3 linked regions of the Astyanax mexicanus genome follow. The protein of the gene in region 3 interacts with the protein of the main gene of each other region in a pairwise test. Links are inferred from orthologs where the notes say so. Each region holds a gene or a part of one and is shown on either strand. Other genes may lie near its edges.

The links. The genes of interacting proteins can lie anywhere in the genome.
Region 1: the proteins of ewsr1a (region 3) and prmt1 interact in a two-hybrid assay, tested with the Homo sapiens proteins (2 studies listed by BioGRID and IntAct). The link is inferred for Astyanax mexicanus from reciprocal best matches to the Homo sapiens genes EWSR1 and PRMT1.
Region 2: the proteins of ewsr1a (region 3) and khdrbs2 interact in a two-hybrid assay, tested with the Homo sapiens proteins (2 studies listed by BioGRID and IntAct). The two-hybrid records come from large-scale screens. The link is inferred for Astyanax mexicanus from reciprocal best matches to the Homo sapiens genes EWSR1 and KHDRBS2.

Annotation. Positions count from the first base shown.
Region 1 is NC_064426.1:20,248,451-20,256,491, forward strand, and holds the start of prmt1 (protein arginine N-methyltransferase 1), read left to right. Parts: upstream 1-4,813; 5' UTR 4,814-4,900; coding exon 4,901-4,969; intron 4,970-6,137; coding exon 6,138-6,233; intron 6,234-6,347; coding exon 6,348-6,503; intron 6,504-7,301; coding exon 7,302-7,365; intron 7,366-7,647; coding exon 7,648-7,790; intron 7,791-7,899; coding exon 7,900-7,987; intron 7,988-8,041. Other genes in the region: ap2a1 (AP-2 complex subunit alpha-2), read right to left, coding at 1,064-1,130. UniProt on the Homo sapiens protein: Arginine methyltransferase that methylates (mono and asymmetric dimethylation) the guanidino nitrogens of arginyl residues present in proteins such as ESR1, histone H2, H3 and H4, FMR1, ILF3, HNRNPA1, HNRNPD, NFATC2IP, SUPT5H, TAF15, EWS, HABP4, SERBP1, RBM15, FOXO1, CHTOP, MAP3K5/ASK1, MICU1 and NPRL2.
Region 2 is NC_064414.1:43,132,385-43,140,243, reverse strand, and holds the start of khdrbs2 (KH domain-containing, RNA-binding, signal transduction-associated protein 2), read right to left. Parts: upstream 3,229-7,859; 5' UTR 2,983-3,228; coding exon 2,892-2,982; intron 1-2,891. UniProt on the Homo sapiens protein: RNA-binding protein that plays a role in the regulation of alternative splicing and influences mRNA splice site selection and exon inclusion. Binds both poly(A) and poly(U) homopolymers. Phosphorylation by PTK6 inhibits its RNA-binding ability.
Region 3 is NC_064427.1:20,602,900-20,610,318, forward strand, and holds the start of ewsr1a (EWS RNA-binding protein 1a), read right to left. Parts: upstream 3,394-7,419; 5' UTR 3,346-3,393; coding exon 3,330-3,345; intron 1,357-3,329; coding exon 1,320-1,356; intron 1,188-1,319; coding exon 1,136-1,187; intron 353-1,135; coding exon 214-352; intron 1-213. Other genes in the region: atp6v0a2a (V-type proton ATPase 116 kDa subunit a 2), read right to left, coding at 5,148-5,250, 5,443-5,614, 6,209-6,326, 6,663-6,773, 7,332-7,419. UniProt on the Homo sapiens protein: Binds to ssRNA containing the consensus sequence 5'-AGGUAA-3'. Might normally function as a transcriptional repressor. EWS-fusion-proteins (EFPS) may play a role in the tumorigenic process.

The DNA.
Region 1 (8,041 bases), on a different chromosome or scaffold from region 3:
ATAACATTACCCCTGCAAAGTGTGGAAGATAATTTTCAGGATGTAACTTTCTAGCTAGCTTGTTTGCCTATTCCACACCAAGCAGGGCATTCAAATATCATATCAAGCACGTCCAAAGCAGTGTAGGTAGAACTCTCGTGGAGCAATGACCCCTTGTTACACGCTCATCCCAAAATCAGATCAGGGTTAAACCTAAACCATTACGCTAAATTAAAACACTATGAAACTTCATAATAACGCATGGCTACTTTTGGATTATAAACAGCTTATGAAGTTGCTATGTTTGTATCCTGCCTCCAAAAGAAGCCTACGTGCCTCTGCAAACTGTGGAGGATCATTTCCAGGATGTACTCCACACTGAGCAGGGCCTTTCATGTCATATCAGACAACATATCAAGAACATCCATTGCAATGTTGGTGGAACCCACATGAAGCGACCCCCCCCCCCCCCCCTTACCTGCCCATCCCACAAGAGAGACTTGGGTTAGACAAGACCCGGTCTCCACTACAAGACTGACTGACTGACCTCTTTAGGCTTGGCTTATTTAGGCAAAGACAAATTAATAACAGATGCTACGTGTAACTGTTGGATCTCTAGAGGAATCTGGGGTTTATCGTAGAGGCCTAACTACGTTACCTACATGTCTCTGCAAACTGTGGAAGATCATTTCCAGGATGTAGCTAGCTAGTTAGCCTAATCCACAGTGAGCAGGGCCTTCAAATATCATATATCATATCAAGCACATCCAAAGCAGTGTAACCTGAGTGGACGCACACTAAATCAACGACCTCTCCTTAGCTAGGTTAACTCGTTAGCTTTCCAGATAGCTACTTTAGACTTAACTAGCTCACCTAGATAGCGCTAGCTAGTTAGCTAGCTTATCTACACATCCTACAAGGGAGACCCGCGTTGGACCAAAACCAGCTCCCTAACCTTCACCATTAGCTAACTATTTAACAGCTGTAAATTATCCTTATGCTTCGTTTTTTTTAAGCATAAACACCCTCTATATTAGCTATAGGCCTATAAACAGTCACTCTTAATAGTATAAATGGCACTTACAGTTTCTTATGTCCGATATGAAGACCGCTAATCCTCGCATTCCGTCTCCTTTCGACACAGCCGGCATCTTTGCAGGATTTTGTTGTTTCTTCTCACCTTACACGAAAAATAAACCACTTTTTGTCGACCTACGACGGTTTAGCTCACCTCGCTTTCCACAAAATACGCTCGTTTCGTAGCACAGCACCACTGAGCTACCTAACTAGCTAGAGCTATGTTAGCCGAGAAGCTAGCTAAAGCTAACGTTAACTAACCCGTACTCTGGCGCTTTTGATGGATGTTTAATGTGCTAGAGAGTTAGCCACCTAGCTAACGATAGCTGCTAACACAGTTGTGTGAAAGCTGAAATAACCAGACCTGAAAGTCAAAGTGTCTACAACCTATCTCTCTTTCTGCCTGTGTGCTTCTTTATTCAAAATATGTATCTGTCAATTCATAAGCGAGAAACCCGCTGCGCTCCGACCGCCGCCGTTTAAATTCATTCAAACCCAACAGTCCAAAATTTAACTACTGGCCCAAACGACGACAGGACTGAGTCACTTGGTGTGTAAAACCAAATTTACAGCGGGTCGTTTTCCTATAACACACTGTAGATGAGTGGATGTCCTACACAACATAAACAGCCACCGGGAGAGGGAGGAAAGCGATTAAAAAATAAAATATTTGATCTCCTTTCTGCTCGCTGTGAGTCACGGCACGGCGAGCTAGCGGACCAGCTAGCTGGCAGGCTAGCGCTATCAAACGTTAGAATACATCACCCGGAATGACCAGCGCGGTCGGAGACGGTCAAACCTAACGTTTTTTTCGGCGAACAATCTTATATTTAGCTGGAAAAACACAAATATGTAGTCTAGAATTCGGTTCGAGGTCGTCGGTTTCGTGCCTGCCGCGCCAGGTCGGTGTTCACGGACGAGGCTCGTGACAGAACGAACGAATAGCGATGTCCGACTCGGGAAAGAATCGGTTCATTTGCAAATAAATCCATTGAACCGAATCAGAGTGAATTAATCCTTACTGTGGCAGCCTATATAATGTTTACTTTAGTGTTCAAAACTAAGTTATCATTATGTTAGAAGTATATTTATACTTTTATTTAGTTTCTTGCACTCAGTGATACTCGTAGGTTCCAGAACCACGATTCTCATCAAGAAGAAGAGACGAAGATGCATGATAAATAAATAAAGACAATATTATATTGTGTTGTTGTTGTTATTCATTGCATGCATAAGGAAATTAAATACATGTTGTCTGCTCCCTGGTTTATTAATCGTGCACAGCATGCACTAGAAAAAAACACTGTGTTTTTTTCCACACAGTAAAATTGTGGTAAAAAAATGTGTGTTGTATATGATGCAATTTGTTTAAAACTATTAAAATCTACATGTAATTGCATTACTTAATTATTTTATGTTTATAACGTGTACTTTTTAAATATCTGCAACTTCTCAGTTTTTTTATTTTATTTTATTTTATTATTATTTAGATTATCTATTATTTTATTATTTATTAATACATTATTTGCAATCTTATTTTATCTATGTGTACGAATATCGTTTTATGATTCATGCAGCTGTATTTTGATTTTTGCCACAATGTAAACAAAAAAAGCAAGCTAATAATTGCGGGACCTCTCCCACCCTAAAAACGAGAATGAGTCACTGAATCGGGCAATTCGAAAGAATCGGTTCGGTAAACTGAATCAAAGTTCGTCTACACTCCAGCAGTATCAGTAGTAAAGGATTCTAGTGCTTCCTCTCGAGAAGCTCCGCCCCCCTGCTACCACAGCACACGCTGATTGGCTGGTAATAGTTTGTAATGCCGTTATGAAAACATTAATAGCTCGTTTAAATTGAATCTGGATCAGTAAAACTTGCTTTGTTTCTACATTAAATATATTTATTTTATATATGATATAATCAAATAGTCTAGCGGAAAATAAGCGTATTTGAGTTATTTGATATGGTTCAAATGAAAGGAACCATCTCTAAGAGCTCATTTACAGAAAGTTAACGGATTTTGGTATGCTGTCTGATGTCTGACACACTGGTTTACCACAGTTTTGATCATAGATTTGTCAATATTATATAAAAAAAATAGATTTTTAGCATGTTATCCTTGAACATCTGTTTTTCTGGCTCTCTGGGAACATTAACCTCAGTGTACTGCACACTGCAATAAACCATCCTGACGTACTGTGCCACCACACCGTGGACTTTATTATGGAAGATTAATGTCACTTGCTATGAAGTATCATAAATATGATCATTACGCAATACCCACTGCCCTGTGTGGAAAGTCAATTGCTCCCTTTGCTGTATACTTTACACCATCCTCAACACCAATCATTGCAACTACACTCTATCTGACATCATTGATCAGCTTTTTACTCTGCGATGGAGGGAGATAGCTGCTTATTTCAGGCCCTGTCACAGTAACTGCAATGCAGTGCTGTCATTTTACAACAATATCAAATCAATATCAATAGCACAATAAAATATTTAATGCAGTATTACAGTAGAAACACAAACAACCATTTTTAGTAACTGAGTAACTGTCTCTATTGTCCAGGGATGGCTTATTCTATTGGCAAAACTTTTCTACAGGGACTAGATAAGCTGTGTGTGTACTTTTCTCTTTTTGTTCCAGCAATGGGTGCAACTTAAAGTAATTGAATGCATTAATTAGAGAAGATGTTTACAAAAAGTGAATACGTAGTTTTGTGAGTTTTGTAAGTTAAAAAGCACTTATATACATGTCAGTGATAAACGTTATATGCTGCTACTGCCTGTGTAAAAAACGATGAATCATCTAACAATTAGGAATTTACACAAAAGGAATATTTCTTTTTAGATTTACTCAAGAGCGCCCTCTAGCGTTTTCCAAGGGTGCGTCCCAATTGCGAACTGCATAATAATAATATAGGTATGTACTATATACTGGTCCTAATAGTGTGAGTTTTGCAGGTTAGCACACAAAAATATTAATAAATAAACCCGTTTTTACTGGCAGTGAAGTCATAAGGCACTTTTTAAAAATAATTTATGTTTTTCCTTTTTTGGCAGATTTTTTAGTATACTCAACTTTTATCTATACTACACACTAAATACCCCAAAACTAGTTACTACTAGTAGGTACGCAATTGGAACACAACTCATGTCTTACTGGCCAGAATGGACACAAATATTAGGGAAAGTATTATTTGCCTTTTTTTTGTTCATTCTAATCAAAATTATACAATTTTTTTTATCAAATGATAAGCAATAATTACAACCCATGACTAGATCAAAACATTTGAAAAGAATTCATATTAATTGATTGATAGTGAAATTAAGTTTACATACAAAATAAGTTCATCTGGCATGATTATGTCAGACATAGTACTGCTGCTACTGTATGATATTGAATGTATAAACTGACTGTATCTATTATTAATATCCTTCCAAAAAACAAGGCACGTTCAAATGAGAATAAAAGCTATCGGGGGTGGGGCAACATGAAAGCTGTCCAATCACAACTCTTCAGTGGATTTAAAACCTGGACTGGTCAGGATTTACATGAAAAGCGAAAATACTGCAGGAACTGGGGCTGGAATCGCAAACAATCCCGAATCACGGCGTTGATGGCTTCACACTGAGCCAATAGCGACAGGGTTTATCAGAAAGGGCGTTACAATGGGTGGGGTCACGTTACAGCGGCCCAATTACCGATATGATGACTGGATTTAGAGCCAATGGGGACTGGATTTAGAGGAAAAGGCGTAGTTTGGGAGGTACTTCATCGCAGCAGTCCAATCAGAGAGCCGGAGTATGTGGGCGGGAGTCTAAAGGGGAGCGTTTAATGTTCCGCGCTGCAGCTGCGAGTCCAAAACTTGTCGGCGAAATGGCGGAGACGACGGACAGGATGGAGGTGAGCTGGAGCCGCGTAACAAAGACGGGCAGGGGGAGACCGCGGTTCATGTGGGAGAAATCCCAGCGCGCTTAGGGGCCGTGTTTGTTCGGTAGAGGCTGTGTGGCGGAGCCGCTGACCCGCTTATTTCGCTAATTAGCTCGTTGCGTAGTGACCTGAGCTCTCGGTAATGTGCGTATAGGAGCATCCATTTTAGCAGCACATCGCTCCCCATTCATTTCCACTAACACGTGGTTGCTAATCTGCTAACACACAGTACCGCCGTGGGGTTATGGCGTCTGTTAAACATTCCGTTTGTTTTATCTACTGCTCCGTTTGTATTTATTAATGAATCACTATTCTGTCTATAGTTATTTAGCTAGGTTAGCTGTGCTGCTAATAGAGAACGCATGGGATTGGCTAGCTGGGTATCTACCTAGGTTAGCATGTTAGCCAACTTAGCTAGTTAGCTTAGATCGGGTAGCTAACGCCGCCGCCTCGTTGTTTCTACATGTGTTAACCAAAGTGATATTAGAAGTTGGAGCTTTTTTTGGTTAGTTTTGAAGTAGTAAAGCTTATCTACTGAGATTTAGCCACTGACCATAACTAGTAACCTTTTTTAGCTATAGAAGCTAAAGGTGGCCTCTCGCGAATTCCCCGGTCCACCTTAAATGGCACCGCAGCTGCTACAGATGGAGCTAGCGGCGCCAGAATGTAACTTCTGTACTTTTTAAGGTGGAACTGAGAATTTAAATTTTAAGGACATATTTTTTATCTACATGGCCTTACCCCTTTACTGTAAAAGGTACAAAAATGATTTCTTAGGATCGTTTCCCTTTCAGAGGCTCGAGTACAGTACGGTTTATTGTAGGACCAGGCCTCATTTATTTTACATACCACGTGTGCTGGTCTGTTAGTGATAAAAGCCTTTGTCTGCCCCCCTTTTTCCTGTGAACTTCTCCAGTCCGCCACCCATTGTGGGGTGTTAAATTTAAGAATTTAAGTGTGTTTTTTTTTTTTTTTTTAAGTTTTGATTCCATTTAAAATTATTTTGGGGGCCTTAAGTGTTCTTTTATGTTCTTTTTATCTTGCGAAATTCCACAAAAACACAATTTACTTAAAACTCCAGGCTGAAACTCTTTTGGCTTTTGTTTTAAATGTAGTATTTATTTAATCCTTTGTTCTCCAGGTGTCCCAGGGAGAGAGCTCAGAGAAGCCTGCGGCTGAAGACATGACGTCCAAGGACTACTACTTTGATTCCTATGCTCACTTTGGCATCCACGAGGTTGGTACTCTTGTTGTTATACCCCTGTATTCAATACTGTACAGTATTTAATAGTTTAGACTTAATTTCCTACCTTACGACCTGTTTTCTAATGCTTTTATTTGGTGTTTACAGGAGATGCTTAAAGATGAAGTGCGAACTCTCACATACAGAAACTCCATGTTTCACAACAAGCATCTGTTCAAAGATAAGGTGGTGTTGGATGTGGGCAGTGGAACTGGCATCCTGTGTATGTTTGCAGCTAAGGCTGGTGCCAAGAAGGTTATTGGGGTAAGTAGACATTCTTGTTGTGCAAGTCAATAATGTAACATAATTAGAAGTGTGTCTAAAGGAACCTGTAAGTAACTGTGCTGTGTGGTTTGACCAAATATGTATACAAAAGTATACACAATATACAAAAGTCCCACCTCATTAACAGAAAATGTGCATGCACACCATAGTCTTTAAAGAGATACACAAACAACTTTTAACCCTGCTTCCATTACAAAACTAAACTTTAGTTTTATACACTATAAATGGACTAAAAATACTCAATTTTGAAGTATTTAAAACATTGATTTTTTTTAAAAGCTCTTGCATGAGTAAGATAAGTTTAAGTTAAAATGTTTTTATTGAAGCCATTGGAGGTGTTACAGTATTGAAATCAGCCACAGTTCCCTCCTTGCTCCAGTTAAACAAATTAAGTCCAGTGTATTAAAATGAACGTTTAAGCCATAATATATTTAAGAGCTATAGGGTTTTCCTTGTGTCCTGAGTTTTAGGGAGTTTAATGACCCCACACTCAGGACCAAATCTGGGCTCGTCTGGGGAACGAGAAGCATGTTTGTACGAGCACATTGTATTAAATTCCTCTCTGGTATACTGTATGAACCTGTATGCTGCCCAACACTAATATAACAGTTACCTTTGAGTGTCTGCATTGAAAACCAGTTTTAAACACATGTAATGTTTGAGCCTGGTTTATTGGGACACAAATCCGCTGCTTGTGTGAAATCAACTTTCACTGCTGTTTCTGTTAAAGTTACTAAATGGACAAGTTGTGTTCTAACATTTGTGTCTATTTTCTAGATTGAGTGCAGCAGCATATCTGACTACGCTGTGAAGATTGTCAAGGCCAATAAGCTAGATCATAGTAAGTGTATTTCTATTTTGGTGGTTCTGCATATGTCATATAAGAGACAGTAAAAAAATTGTTACTGATTGCTCTGTTAGTGCAGTTTACCAGGCCAGCATGTCAGTTTTAAATTAGTTCATAGTGTTCATATTTTACACAAACTACAAGGTGTGTAATTGAACCAAGGGCAGGACGTGTTTTTTTTTTTTTTTTTTTTTAAGGATTTCATTATAGATGTCTGCTTTAGATACACAAAGTTGCGGTGACTGTTTGATTCTCATGAATGTGTTCTCTGTTCAGTTGTGACCATTATCAAGGGCAAGGTGGAGGAGGTGGAGCTTCCAGTGGAGCATGTAGACATCATTATCTCTGAGTGGATGGGCTACTGTCTCTTCTACGAGTCCATGCTCAACACTGTGATCTATGCCAGAGACAAGTGGCTGGTAAGCGTTCAAAAACCCGCTTCACAATCTTTGTGTATGTGTAGGATATTTTGGGTGTATTTGTGCAGGAAGCTAAATTAAGTGTTAATATTTGTTTTCTTGCACACAGAAACCTGACGGGCTGATCTTCCCTGACAGAGCCACTCTTTACGTCACAGCTATTGAGGATAGGCAGTACAAGGATTACAAAATCCACTGTAAGTTCTTTTTTTTGTTTGTTTTTTCTCTATTCGCTATGCCAAATTAAGCCC
Region 2 (7,859 bases), on a different chromosome or scaffold from region 3:
GTTTTTCAAGAGATGTTTATATCACATGTTAATTACTCATATTACTCATACTAGCAAAGTTATAATGATTTACATTGACCTTACACTGAAAGTAAAGGTACTACAAAGTACTACTTTCTTGGAGGATTGCCATAAAAAAATATTTGGTGCCATAAAGAAGCATTTTAACAGATTTTAAAAAATGAGGTTGTAAAGGTTCTTTAAAGACTGGGCTGTTTATGAAAAAAAATTGAAAACAAGCATATTTTACAGTAACATAATTATACAGCTAAATTTTTTTCTATATGTATTTCTAATTTTATCTGATTTCTCCCCAATTTGGAAGACCAATTACCCACCCACTCATTAAGGCTCCCCCTGTTAGTAGTAATAGAATACCATCAACAATGGTAGCACGAAGAAGGCTAGGAAATGCCTCCTCCAACACATGTGAACCCAGACACACCTCTTTTGTATTTGCATTAATAGGTCTGTTTGGAGTGATGAGGGGAGAGAGCGCCATCTACTTACCCAGAGAGAGCAAGGCCCATTGGGCTCTGTTAGACTCCGGATGCTGATGGCAAAAACCCAGTAAATCAAACCGAACAATGGACATTACTAAAGTGAGCAAAACTTATGAGTTCATATCTTCAGACATAAAAAAGTGGAATTTCTCAAAGAACTACATAAAGCACCTTTATTTTAAGAGTGTATATTGCATATAAATCTTCCATACGCTGTCATTTTTTCCTGCACTAATGAGTTTCTCATATTTACACTAATACTTTCCGAACACAAAGATAGCCAGTAGGATCATTTTACTGTTGGTTTGGTCGAGTTGAATTTGATATTCCCTCTATTGTCCAAACAAATGGAGTTTTTAAGTCAGAAAGCCCCACACCCTCTTAAAACGTCTTCTGAGGTGTCATTAAAATGCGAGCATTTCTTTATCCATCATTTACTTTGTTTTCTTATTTAGTTAAAAACACACACAGACACCAGTAAGTTTGAGACCTTTGCATCTGTGTCTGTATAGACCTAATCTACTTCAGAGCTCCAAGCCCAACATACCTGAGGAGGAGCTTGTTGACCCCCTAACAGCATGAAAGGGTAAAGCTGCTGCACTCAGGCACGCTACATCTCCCTCCATACCCCCATCCCTCATTCCATCCCTCTATCCCTCCATCCCTCAATCCATCCCTCACCCCAGGCTCTGAAACACAGAAGCATTAAAACACACACACACACACAAGCATAATCCAACACACAGGAGCTACTGAAGCCACAGGATCAGACTCTGCTTATGGAACTGGTCTGAGAGCAGTCTACATCTGATCACACTTCAGTGAGTGATAATGTTACATGGTAATGACAGTGTTACTTTTAATTTGAGCCTAAAACTAAAGATGAAGGTGATACAAAGGGTTATTTGAGCGATGGTATAGAACAAAACTATTTTTGGTTTCATTAAGAGCTGTTTTTATAAGAGATGTGTATAAAGAACCATGAAAGACAAAAAATGGTTCTTTACTTGCATCTCCCTAAGAACCATCTTGGGTAGGGCTGCATAATTAAAAAAAACAGTCATTGCAGTTTCTCTAAGATATATATACTGAGATTTACAAAAAATACACATATTTATCTGTCCAATATAATTTCATTAATTTAATTTAATTTACCCCTCACTTTCAGTATTTCAGTGATTTTGGAAAGGGGAAAGTTAAATATAATGTTTTACACTAACTTTCCTGTTTTTGAATTTAGCCACAAACTGTCAGAAAAATGAACTTAAAAAGGTTATTACTGACCATATCGGATTCCTGACTTTTCTGTTTGTAAAACATTAACAAAAAACAATGTTTTCCTTTAATCATATCAATAACACATATAGAAACATCTACTGCAATGTCATTTTATTTCTTCCAATATCACGCAACTCAACCTCTTAACCTCAAACCCTCACAAAACATATCTTTCTTTGATTTTATCAAATTGAAAACCTCTGAAATATAATCAAGAGGATGGATGATCACAGCCATCAAACCAAGCCCCTGCGTGATTTTTTGCACCAGGAGTGGCATAAAGTTATCCAAAAGCAGCGTGTAAGGCTGGTGGAGGAGAACATGTCAAGATGCATGAAAACAGTGATTTTGTTATTTTTCAGCAAATGAATAAATGCTCCAAATGACAATATTTTATTTCGAATTTGGGACAAACAATGTTCATAGTCTATAGAGTAAAAGAACAATGTTGATTTTACACAAACATATACCTATAAATAGCAAAATCAGATAAACTGATTCAGAAACTAAAGTGGTCTCTTAAATTTTTCCAGAGCTGTAAGTTATATACATATGCATATGTTTTACTTCCTTTTAGGTAGTCATGTAGTTAGTTAGTTATCACTTTTTTTTTTTTGCATGAACACACCTGAACACCTGAAGTTTAGCCAAGTAATGATGAAACCACACACACACACACACACACACACACAGAGCAGTTAACGAGTCAGAGCCCTGTCTGCTTCTGTTCAGACCTGTGAGTCCCCTAATCTACTTCAGAGCTCCAAACCCAACACACCTGAGGAGGAGCTTGTTGACCCCCTAACAGCATGGCGGGGAAAAGCTGCTGCACTCAGGCACGCCTCTACATCTCCCTCCATCCCTCTATTCCTCTCTCATTCCATCCCTCCATCCATTTCTCTATCCTTCCCTCCATTCCTCACCCAGGGCTCCCAACCGCAGGACCATGAACAAACAAACAAACAAACGTTTATAAACACCACCAGCATTTCATACACAAATAATACACACATATGGTGATTATAGAGACTTACCCGGGGACACTGTACACAAATACCGGACAGAAAAGGGATAAATAACCGGATAAAGAGGGTAAAATAATCCTGTTACCTTCAGCCAGAAGGCGCATAGCGTGAACAAAGGTCGTGTCCAGCGTTTCCTTCTCGGCCATCAGCTCCGGCAAGTACTTGTCCTGATCCATAACCGGCCACCGCTCCTCTCCTGACCGCGGCGAGAGCAGGTGAGACACAGGGGAAGAAAGTGCGGAGAGGCGGACGGGACTGTGGTCTGACTTCGCCTGAACCCTGAGGAGAACTGACGGAGCGGATATCGGTACAACACCGGCTGCTTTCCTCCGTTAGCTAACGGCTGTTTTAATAACGGCAGCGTTATTCAAACCAAAAAATAAACACTCATATCCTCCTCGCGCTCGGTTTAAACGCAGGGCTCTCGTGCGAAAGCTCCCCGCCTATAGCCACGGAATAAGCGCGCTGGCCCCGCCCCCCTCACTGCTGATTGGCTGGGTCGGAGAAGCGAATTCTGGAAAGCGTCAAACAGCATCAACGCTAACGGTATGTAACGATATAATAAGGTATACTGCGGTTAATCACGGTATTCTGTGGATAAATACTAATACTACCGTAATGTAAGATTTGTTGTCTTAAAGGGGACATATTATATCTCTTTTTTACACAAGTTAGACTGTGATGTCATGGGGCTCAGAGTGGTTCAGCGGACTAAAGCCCAATTTATACTTCTGCGTCGAACCTATGCTGTAGCCTGCGCATATCCAGGGGACACATTTATACTTCTGTGTGTGCGTATCAACAGCTCTGCATCGCTCTGCAGTTTAAACCGCGAAGGTGGGAATATGTGCGTGTAAAGCTACGGCGTAGGGTACGCAGCGATGCGTAGGCTAAGGCGTAGGATTGATGCAGAAGTATAATTTGGGCTTTAGGCGCTGCCACAGCGTTCAGGAGATCGCTGGTTAGAATCCCGTTTATGTAGCTCGCCATCAGCTGCCAGAGCCCCGAGAAATCACAATTGGTCTTGCTCTCTCTGTGTGGGTAGATGGCGCTCTCTCCCCACATCACTCCAAAGGGTGATGTCGCTTAGCACAAGGCGTCTGTGAGTTGATGTATTAGAACCAAGCTTGCTGTGATGCTACTCAACAATGCTGCATCAGCAGCAGTTTAAAAACAGGTGGAGCCTGACTTCACATGTATCGGTGGAGGCATGTGCTAGTCTTCATTACCAGTGAAATGGGGGAGTCCTAATGAGTGGGTTGGGTAATTGGCCTTGTACATTGGGAAGAAAATTGGATTTTAAAAAAGTATCAGTGATGTCTGTATCTCTTAAACCATTTTTTTTTCAGTAACAAGTAATCCAACACGTAACTATTTCCAATTAAAGTTACTCATTCACGTCACTGTGTATTATTTTTGGTCATTTTCCTTAGTAAAAAGATATTGTATTGATGAGAAAGATGTTTACACTGGTCGATTTATTGCTGGAACTTACGTTTGCTGTTGATGCTATAACTCATCTAGGGATGTGTGTGGATAAGTGCTTGTGTGTGTTTGAGTGCTAAGTGTAAAATGATTGCATGTGGAACATGATTGTAAAGCGTCCTTGGGTGTCTAGAAAGGCGATATATAAGCGTAACTTTATTCATTCATTTAAGATGGTTAAGACGGATACAGACAGGATAGACAAACAGCATGACCACTCTGGTCGATCAGCAATGTCCAAAATAACCAAAATCAAATGCAACACTAGTAAGTTGGTCAAGCGTAGTGCAAGGTATGCTTTCACTTGAATGACCAGCTTTTCAAACATCTTAAGAAATTGAAGCCTAGCTCAGACAATCCAAATCCAGCTGCCAGCAAAAACTGATCTTGACCAGCATAGGGTGTGAGTTTATTTGTTTAGCTGGTCTACAAACAAAATTAACTATACAAGCTGATCAATCAGCATGATCAACAAGACCCAGCTGGATGACTACACTGGCCTAAATCAAAAGCAACATACACTATGCTACTCAATAGCCAATTAACCAGATAGTTGGTAACACTTTATAATACCGGTACAGGGTATGTTTTCAACTGGATGAGCATCTTGACCATCAAAGAGCAGCTTAGACTATGCAGAACCAATTGTTAGAAAAAAATGGCCTTGACCAGCATAGGGTTGTAGTTTGATGTTTTAGCTGATGTTCAAGCATAATCAGTGATCAAGCAAGGCAACCAGTATGACCAAACTTGAGTGTGCTGGTTGACCAGCTAGATCAAGCTGGTTGATTAACATGGCCATGCTGGTTGACTAATATGGCTGCGCTGGTTGACCAGCATGACCATTATGACCAATTTTGTCAACCAGCATCACACACAAGCAAAATCAATGCAGCATGCCAAATTCACCATGCTGGTCAAAAGCTGGTGAACCAGCTAGACTAACAGCATGTTTTTGTCTAGCTGGATGAACAGCTTCCAACCACCTTAGCCATCAAATACAAAAAAATTGCTTTAGACCTTCCAAAACTAGCTAACAGCAAAAGCTGATATTGAACTGGATTTTTCAGAAGTGCTTCAGGCACTAAACATTAAAAAAATTCTTTTAAAATAAGGAGATGGTTAAAACCTGTAGTTGAATACTAAATCATTGGTTTACCTTTACAGATTTTGAAGAGTGGTCACTCACGGCCTCCAATGTCAATGTCAAGTCCTTAGATCCCTAACAGAAATTCTCCTTACTGGACCATCATGTTGGACTTGTGCTGAATTGCCTTGGGCTGAGCATAAAGAAATAATCATACATGTACCTACATACATAACCTAGATACATAAATACAAGATGAATTATGGCATTGTGCTTCATTTCTGGAGCTGTTTATTCTTGTTTGTGGTACCAAAAATGTGCGAGTTGTAAAGTGGTTTAAGACTAATGGCGCTTGTGTGGGAAAGGTAAGCTAACAAATGAAGCAAGGTGAAATCTGTCTTAAGGAAGACACTTGTTCCATATTTATGGCAGGGCACAAAGTCAGCTCAATTTGTCGTGTCCGTGAATACTAATCAATGGCGTTTCTGTATGCCTCGGTTTGCCAAGATGGATTAGGCATTTGTGACAGGCAGTCTATAGAGGGAAAACATGCACAAACAAACACAAGCACACACATTCACACACATACACTTAAACACATGCACCAAAAGAGAGAGAGAGAGGGGCAGGGAAGTGGGGAAAGACAGAAGGAGGAGGAGGAGGAAGAAGAAGAAGGCCTGCTTGCCTAATTAATGACTGAATGGATTACTGTGCTGTTGGCAAACATCTGTACACCCAGTGTCACATTCAGCGACTGCCTTGTGAGAATGTTCATAGAGCCTCGGTCCACTGGAACGCGGTGATTAGACGCCATGTACCAAAAATTGGTCTTTCACTCATGCGGGGACACTGCACGCACCAGTAACCATCAGTATTTATCAGATGTTTTCAAAGTAACAGTGGTTTATAAAATGATATCCAATTGATCTACCGCAGTCCAGTGCAGAATTGCCCCTGCACATAGTCTGTTGACTGGCTTCTGATTTAAGGGAAAGCAGGACACAGCTAAACGCCACATTCTGGATATTTAAAAATGGTTTATCCTAACAAAATCTACATATCTCTTCCACAAATTAAAATTAGATTTTGTTCCCGGCACAATCTATTTGTGGAAAATTCAGCACAACAGGGTAACATAGCCTAAAGGCAAGGTTAATTGTGACTGACAGAGTGGCTAGCTGAAACAGTCAGTTGAAAAAAGTAGATGCGAACCCAATTAATTAGTTGTAATTCTATGTTGATGTTTTTTTAAGCAGAGGAGATTTAAAAACTATACACAACACATTTATTTCAGCTAAGCCTCATTTCCACAAGCTTTAAAAAATTAAAACATACCCTCTATCCTGTAAAGCAAGATGGTTAACCAGCTCTTGACTAGCATAGTGTTGCTGATCATGTTGGTCTTGCTGGTTTAGCCTGGTCAGGTTAATCATGTTTCTTCAACAAAAGTTACTGTTACCAAAAGAAACTGGTGATTATGTCTGGCCCCATAACAATCTTTATTATGTTTTATATATTGTCCAGGAAATAACTATGCTAAATGACATTACTGTCATTTTTAGACATTTTTTTGGCCATTATATAACTATAATTACACTCCTTTAAAGAGCAAGGAACTTTTAATAATTTATAATATTTAGGAGAGTTAGAACTTTTGGGCAATTTGTACTTTCTGTGAAAACTTTGCAGCATATTTTTTAAATATTTCAAGTAACACGTCTTTACCTTATGAAGGTTGATCTGTGAGTACAGCTATGAAGATGCTGTAGTTGATGCATTGATCAATGTATGACTGGCAAAAAAATAATGATGAAATAAACATTCTAGGAATCACGCTGGACAGTATCATTGTCAGCAAAAATTATCCACAGTCAGTGGCAGGCCTTCTGGTTATGAACAATGTATTCCAGAAAGAATCCTGAGAAATATATGATCGACTGCTGTCATATTGTACAGAAATTGGTTGCAATGGAAAACAATAACACAAGCAGAATCCTCTTCTACTCAATTCCGTCTAACTGCATGCATTTTGTTTTGGTCCCTGTTCTCCCTTACTCCAAAAACAGCCGCCATTAAATAATCTATTTCCGGCATTCTGTCAGGAAAGACCGTGAAAGAATGGATCCACAAAACCACAGGAAAGCAGCGTTGTACTGCGCAGACCTTCGAATTGGCATATTGCAAGGCCCTTTCAAATGTATTGTCCTCATTCCTCTGTTAATCATACTTTATTGATTCCGCTCTCCTCGCCGTGGATTCATTTTCTCAATTATAGACACTGTCTTTAAGAGCTGTAAAATTCCGCAGACTGGCCTTAACCTCCACAAACCATAGTCTTACACTAATTCACATTCTTCCACACGTAACTTTAGACTTTCGTCTCCTCAGCACCACGTCTCTCTTTTTCTCCGGAATAAAACAACTGTTCAGGTAGCTGACAAGTCCATGCATCTTAATAGGATTATGATTCTGGGTGGAATG
Region 3 (7,419 bases):
AATCTAGTCTAACACAAAGAATATGTACTTTAACAAATTCCTAAATTACTCATTAGTATGAAAAATATTTTTTTAAATGTTACCATTAGATTCTACATTACAACTAATTACAACTTTAGATCAGTACAGGACATCAACTTAATTAAAAACTTGCTTTTTAACACTGGAGCGTCAAATCTGTATAACAGTTTAAATCCATGATGAATGACTTACTGCTGGCTGGTGGCTGCTGCCCATATGACGACCCATAAGCCTGCTGACCGTAACTCCCAGATGAGCTGCCAGTTTGAGGGTAGGCTGAATCAGCAGGTTGGGTGTATGAGCCATAGCCCTGCTGCTGTCCGTATGATTGCTGGAGAAACAGAAGCGCATCATAAGCTTATTCACATTCCCAAGACTCTAGATAAAACTCAGTGCACATTAATATTAAGAACATAGAACATTTAGGACATTTTTTTTTAAAGATACAAAACTCAGCCGACACAGTTATATACTTTTTTATATAACATAATTTTCTGTGTGTTTTTTGGGGAAAAAATAGATTTAAAATACATTCTTTTACTGTTTTTAATGTCAGGAGTATTTAACACTAACTTGCTTATAACCAGAGGCTTTAAAGGCCCATTACGGATTAAATTTTCTGTAGTTCTTTATTACATGATCAGGATGCATCATCAGATATTAAGGAAACATGAGTTTAAGCACGGACACCTCTTCCCAGCAGAGCATAAGATTCAGCTGCAATATTTGAACTGTGAACTGTGTTCAAATATGTAGTGCATCCATTCCCCTAGTACCATTTCCACACTCAGGGTTACCAGGTATAGAACACATCAGCATGCAAACAGTGTGCTACAGCCATGGAAACGGGTGAGCTGGCTATTTTTCTGTTGAACAGGTAATCACTGAGCTTCAGTAAGGTTGCTAACCAAAGCTGAGTAATTTAACACCTCCAATAGTGTAGTAGACAGAGACATTTTGGACACTGAAACGTACATCTTTACAGAGTAAGACTTGTTGTCACTTGCCACTGTGTGGCTAGTGCAGGAAACTTAATCAGGTGTTTGGAAAGTGGACTCATGTAGCCATACTGACTGATCCTTTAAAATAGGAATAAATTATCTGAGTGTGTTACCTGGGCACCCTGTCCGTAGGCCTGAGAGGGCTGGGCAGCATAGGAGCTGTACCTGGAAAAAAAAATACACTAACATTAACAAGCAAAATAACCATTATATATATATATTCAGAAACAATTATATATAAATATTAATTTATATTAATTAATTAATATTTTCTATACTTAAAAGCAGTATTCTTACCCTTGCTGGCCTCCGGCCTGCCCGTAACTGTTATAATCTGTGGTAATAAAAAACACAGTCAGTGTAAAAAATTATGTTTATACCATACATACAACCTAGAAGAAATAAAACGAAAACCTACCAGCCCTTCTGACTGTTTTTTATGGCTATTATTAATTATTGTGCATCCCAAAACAATTATTGCATACACCAGAGGTGTTATAACACTCCTGAGAATACACATGAGAAATTCATAATTACCTAGTTCCTAGAAGAACTCCCTCATCAGCTGAAGAAGCAGAGCCACTTTTGACATGATGCGCTTATTTTATAGACAGAATTTAAACTACTTATTAAAAAAATACTGTTAAAATTCATATTAATTGTGCCCACCTAAGGCAAAAAGATTCTGCATTATTTCAGCCTTACTTAAGAGAATACACAATTGTATCCTAATGTGTCAATCAATAAAAAAAACAATTTGATAAATAATTAAAATAAAATTAAATACAGTTAATGCTACAAGTTATACACATTACTCTAATTTTTTACATATCACAGAAACAGTACACCAAGGTTAATTTGTTCCAATACTGTGAAGTTTAGTCCTCCAACAAATGAGCTAATCCCTTCCTTTAACAAATAGTTCTCCCAACTAAATAATCTGTTTCTTCAGTTCAGAAGGGGCACTTTAGTTAAAGGTTCTTTAATCCTGAATGTTGTATCCTTACTAGCCAAACATATACAAGACAGAACTAAACGAATAAAAAAAGAAACTAGCAAGTTAATTCAAAACAGGCTGATGATCAAAATGCCTTACTGTTGGTTTACAGTAATTAATTACTGTTATAATGTGATTTTCAAAATGGGGGTAATTCTGATTGTACATCTTTACATATATAAGCTACAGAGGGAATCTTAGTAGATGGACATTTGCGCTTTTATGTGGCAGTGATTTTCATCATTTTAAACTTTACCTTAAATACAAACTTGCAAGTAGGTTATGATTAGACAATGTGTTTAATATAAAAGCTGCGTGTACAGTTAAAAGGCGGGTGCTTAATATTCATAAAAACATTTATTTAATGTTTTAAATAAATAATGTTTTTTAAATGAAAATAAATAAAAATGAAGCAATAGCTTGATATTGTGCTGTGTTTTTTTTTTTACAAAAAATATTTTATTTTCTTACTATTATTGAGTAATACTGCTCTATCATTCTTTTTAGTATTTATCTTACCTGTTTATGTCTCTGTACAGTAAGTTATACTAGTACCTCAAAATAACGAAACAGTATCTCAAAATAATGAACAAGTATCTCAAAATAATAAGGAAGCTGTTTATATCACAAAAAAATGTGCTGGATTTTATTTTATTTTTTTATTTTAGCCGGCGGGAATGGGCTTCTATACCCTACTGATGTTTTGTGGTAAAAAATAACTAGTTAAAAACCTAGATAACCTATTTATCTAATTTTCCACAGATCATTTCGATATTATATAATAAGGACAAGCTAAAAAATATTTCAATGCGATTTTTAAGCGTTTAAATTCTCTTTTTTGAGTCAGAAATGCAAAAATGCTAGCTAACTAGTTACGCCCACCGCCTTAGAATAATGGGCTAGAGAGCTAGCTAGTTAGCTAACTAGGTTAGCCAGTCATTCTAATCACGTTTAACTGAATTTACAAGCTAGCGAACATAAAATAGCTTACTGCACAATGTCTAAACAACGTTTTACACCCACGAATACAGCTAGCTAAATAAGCTATACTGACCGACAATGTCTATGTAAGCGTTAAAAAGCTCAATCTACCGGTAACGCTTAGCTCAAATAGCTGAATAGCCAGCTAACGGTAGAATGCTCACGTTCATAAACCAGCCAAATAAGCCTAATTATAATCGATTTAACAACATTATACAGATACAAACATCACATACAATATGCTTATATATTCTTCAACCAATATCTGATGATAATAGTCTACGTTTCATTATAAATAATCGTTTTTCTTGCATTATTGTAACCGTTACCTGCAGCGGACGCCATTTCGTGTTCTATTTTCTTCACCCGGAGTCCACAGGCGAGAACTGCGCATGCGCACGATACCTTCGCACCAAAGGCGCATCCATTCAGCTGCGATTTATATAAAATCATTTTTAAAAGTTTTACAAATGGTTTAAAATCGCGCTACGCTCTACTATAACCCAAATTAAGTGTCAGCATTTATACTTAGAGTTCTGAACAAGGTTTAAGATAAGTATTTAAGCTCAGACTGTGACAGTTTGGACTGTATATTGTATATTATGTAAAAAATGGACCAGTTCTTAGAGTTGATGTTGTTGTTATACAGTAAGGTTGTATATGTTTTTATTTATTTATTTTTCATACATTGTAAATGAATACTGAATTAATCTAGACTATGAAGCGAAGCATAAGGAGTCATGTAGTGAACCTAAAAGTGAAACATTTAGCTGGGCTCTTATCTGGGTACTGGTCCTGATAAGTGCCAGTTTCATCATATTTTTTAAATGGTTTTTGTGACTGCACGTAAGGATATTTTCAAAGTTCTTGAAATTTTTCAGATTGACTAACCTTCATTTCTGAAAAAGTTAAGTATTTTTTGCTTTACTTACTTTACATAACCCCAATAGTTGAAACAAAATCACTGTATACCAACTACAATTCTTCTCAAACACATTAAGAGGGCAATTAATTCTTGATGAGTTCAGCACAGCTGTTAACTTAAAGCCATTCTAGGTGACTATACTTTATAAAGCTGTCTGAGAAAATGTTAAACTACAATGCAGAACATATTCAAAGGTGCGTCCAATCATACATGCTACAGTTTAGAAGTTTAGATCCAAATGAAAAGCAGATAAATTATTTAAATCAAGTTTTGTTGAATAAATATGTTGGTTTTGAACACTCTCAAATGATATATACAATTATCGTAGAATAACCTGTATTAATGTCTGAGTCAGAACATCTCTAGAACATCAGGCAAGTCTTGTTTGGTGTTCCAGAATGAAGTGTTCAGCACCTAATGTACTGAAAATGTCCCTAATGTACCGATAAGCACCCAGGTTTATCATTGATGCTCATGTAGGCTCTGCCCACCTCTTACACAACTTACAGAACTTAAAGCTACAAATAAGAAAGACGACAAGCCACCAGAAATCTCTCTTTTTGCAAATGATGCTTTAATACTGTACTCAATGAAAATTTCAATGAAAATTCTATCTAGTATGAAAATGATGGCTATTTTTTTCTTTTACTTGCGAAGTTTACCTGAAACATCACAAGTATTTTTTTTTACTTCATAATGTGTGCGTGTGCGTGCTTCAGATCCACGGGATAGAGACGGCTCAATAAATTCAATATTCCCATTTCAGAGTAGCATACAAAACTGTATCTGGAAAAATACTTATGGCACTTTTGAAATCCGATATGAAAATGGAAATGTCTGTGAATAAATAAGAGGGTTTCCCAAGTCGAGGTCGTATCTCTAATAAAATATAAATATAACAGCAGGGCTGCACTGACAAACTTATTTAAAGATGTTATATGGCAGATGTTGAGTGATGTTGAGTTTGGTGGAGCCGGTGATGATAGTCAGTGGCAGATATCGCTGATATGAATGTGTTTATCTAAGGCAGTCAGTCTCGATTGATCCTGCTTTAATAAAAAAGTGGGGGATGGGCTGGAATGTTGAAATGGTATAAAAGGAAAGGCGATGAAACGTCCGGTTGCTGTGGTTAGTGCTGCAGAGCTGCGGTGAGGAAACAGGAGGAGTGTAAGTCATGGTAAGCCAGGGTGGATTAGCTCAGGTCTCAGAATTTCCTCGCTGCTCACAGTAATCCATCCTGCTCGAAGACGGAGGGAAGCAGGGAGAAGTCGAAGGGGGCGAATTTTACACCTGTTCCACTGTAGAACTTGTTCTGAAACTCCACCCTGGAGACAGAGAGAAATAAAGAATGATTATACAGTAAATAAGAGAAAAAATCCCTAAAACTGCAGCATACACCATAGGAAGGCTAATACTCCCACCCACTTTAATTTAGTGAGTAAAAATTATGGTGACTAACAGCATCTAGCTGGAAGTGTCTGTGGCATGTGAGTGTAATATTGAGTGTGTGTGCTGACCAGTGTAGGCGCAGGGCGTGCAGGAAGGCAGAGAGCCCCTCCATGATCAGCAGGATGGAGACGGTGAGGATGGCGAAGAGACTGAAAACAGGGGCGAGAACCAGCACCCCCAACCTGGAGTTAATCCTCAGAGCAACACGCAGGACCATCGCCCACAGCACCTCCGACAGCTCTGTTATACACATGCACACGCACACACAAACAAAACATTTATTTTATTTTTATATAACAAAAGCATTCAAATACAGTATGTGAATTGTAGTAATACACAAGAGAAAGACAGATAAGAAGTCTATAGGCGATACCGTTGCAGTGCTTATTGCTATCTTACACCCTACCAACAGTCTATTTTCACGCCTTCCACCTTCCTCGTTTAAATAGCAACAGTGCTTTTGAATATATCTACACTGATGGGCGTGGTGGTGTGGAAATTAAGGAAAGTTCAGGTAAATTTCTGGCGTATTGCTTTCTTGGCAATAGACAACCTCAACCTCAACCTTGCCTTTTTTATTACTCTCATTCTGCATTCTCATTGGCTGTAGCTAGTCGCTGCATTAATGTCCAGTCAAAGCACTTTTCACACTACTGGAGTCACTGGCTAGTCCAGATATTAAACCTGCTAGATATTAGATATTGTGGACGAGCTCTCGGATCACATCTTTGACCAGTTCACACACAGTGATTATGACAAGACAGAGGGAATGCAAACTTGTAGCTCAATATGCTCAATGAGTGTGTATGTGTGTGTGTGTGTGTGTGTACTAACGAGCATGAGCCAGGCTGAGGGCCCACAGGCGAAGGTACGATGCCGTGTTGGAGATGCAGCCCAGGCAGAACTCTATAGTGTGAATGGCCTGATGTAGGAAAACATCCCCAAAATCAAACTGCAAACAAAAGTACACAAATTAACTCACATAACAAATACACAACATGGGACACCAGCTTTTTCATGGTTTATTTTAAAATTAAGGGAATGAAAAAAGAGTTTATCCTGCTTTTGTTAAAGTAACTGTCTGAACTGTCCAGGAGAAGGTGTTTTACTAGATGTTTGCAATGGGTGCAACTTAGCTGTAAATTAGCTAACTGCATTCATTAGAGGGCTGTCCACAAATATTTGGACACGAGTGTGAGAAACCACATAGTAATTTAAGTAATTCTTAATAAAGATATCTGTGTATCAGGTTCAGGTAGTGTTTGTAGTTTGATAGTTTGAATCGGACCTCTTTTGGGCTGCAGTCTCGACCCGGGTGATCATCCAGCCCTTCCTCTTCATCGTGGACGATAGACGGGGACAGATCGTCCTCACTTAAACGGCGAACTCGCTCATAGCCCTGTACAGAAAAAAATAAGACACTGTGAAAAAAAACAAAAAAACAAAGCTAGCAAGGGTACTATTTGCAAATTAGATCAAAACAATGGGTCAAGATTAGCTTTTATCCTACATAGCTAATATCTTACATCAATATGTTTAATATTACAAATAAATGAAAAAATGTTTTGTGGCTGTAGTGCAAACATGTGGAATTATTCACTTTTATCTTAAAAAAAACAAAAAAACAAAAGCTTTTATCATGCCTACCTCATTCTGCAGTAAACAATATGTTATATTGGTGGTGCACAAAAAACACATACACACAGCTGACTGCCTGTATGGTGGAGTCAGTACAACCCAATGGGTAGAATTATTGTTTTTTACCACAATTAGTGAGCACTGGACGAGGAAAACAGCAGATAAAATCATATAGAGTAGAGTAGACCTGTATGGCCTACACAGCCTTCGAAAGCTGCGCCACCATCCACCACATCCTTTAAAGAATCCTGTCCCTGAACTGGAACACACTCATGCAGTCTCTACATGCAGCATCCCACAGTAGTCAACACGCACGTACACACACCCTGTGGACTCCCAGGCTTTTGCTGCCGTGATGAAGCCAGTAGAGGTAAAGCGGTTTCCCCAGCAGGAGCACAGGAACACAC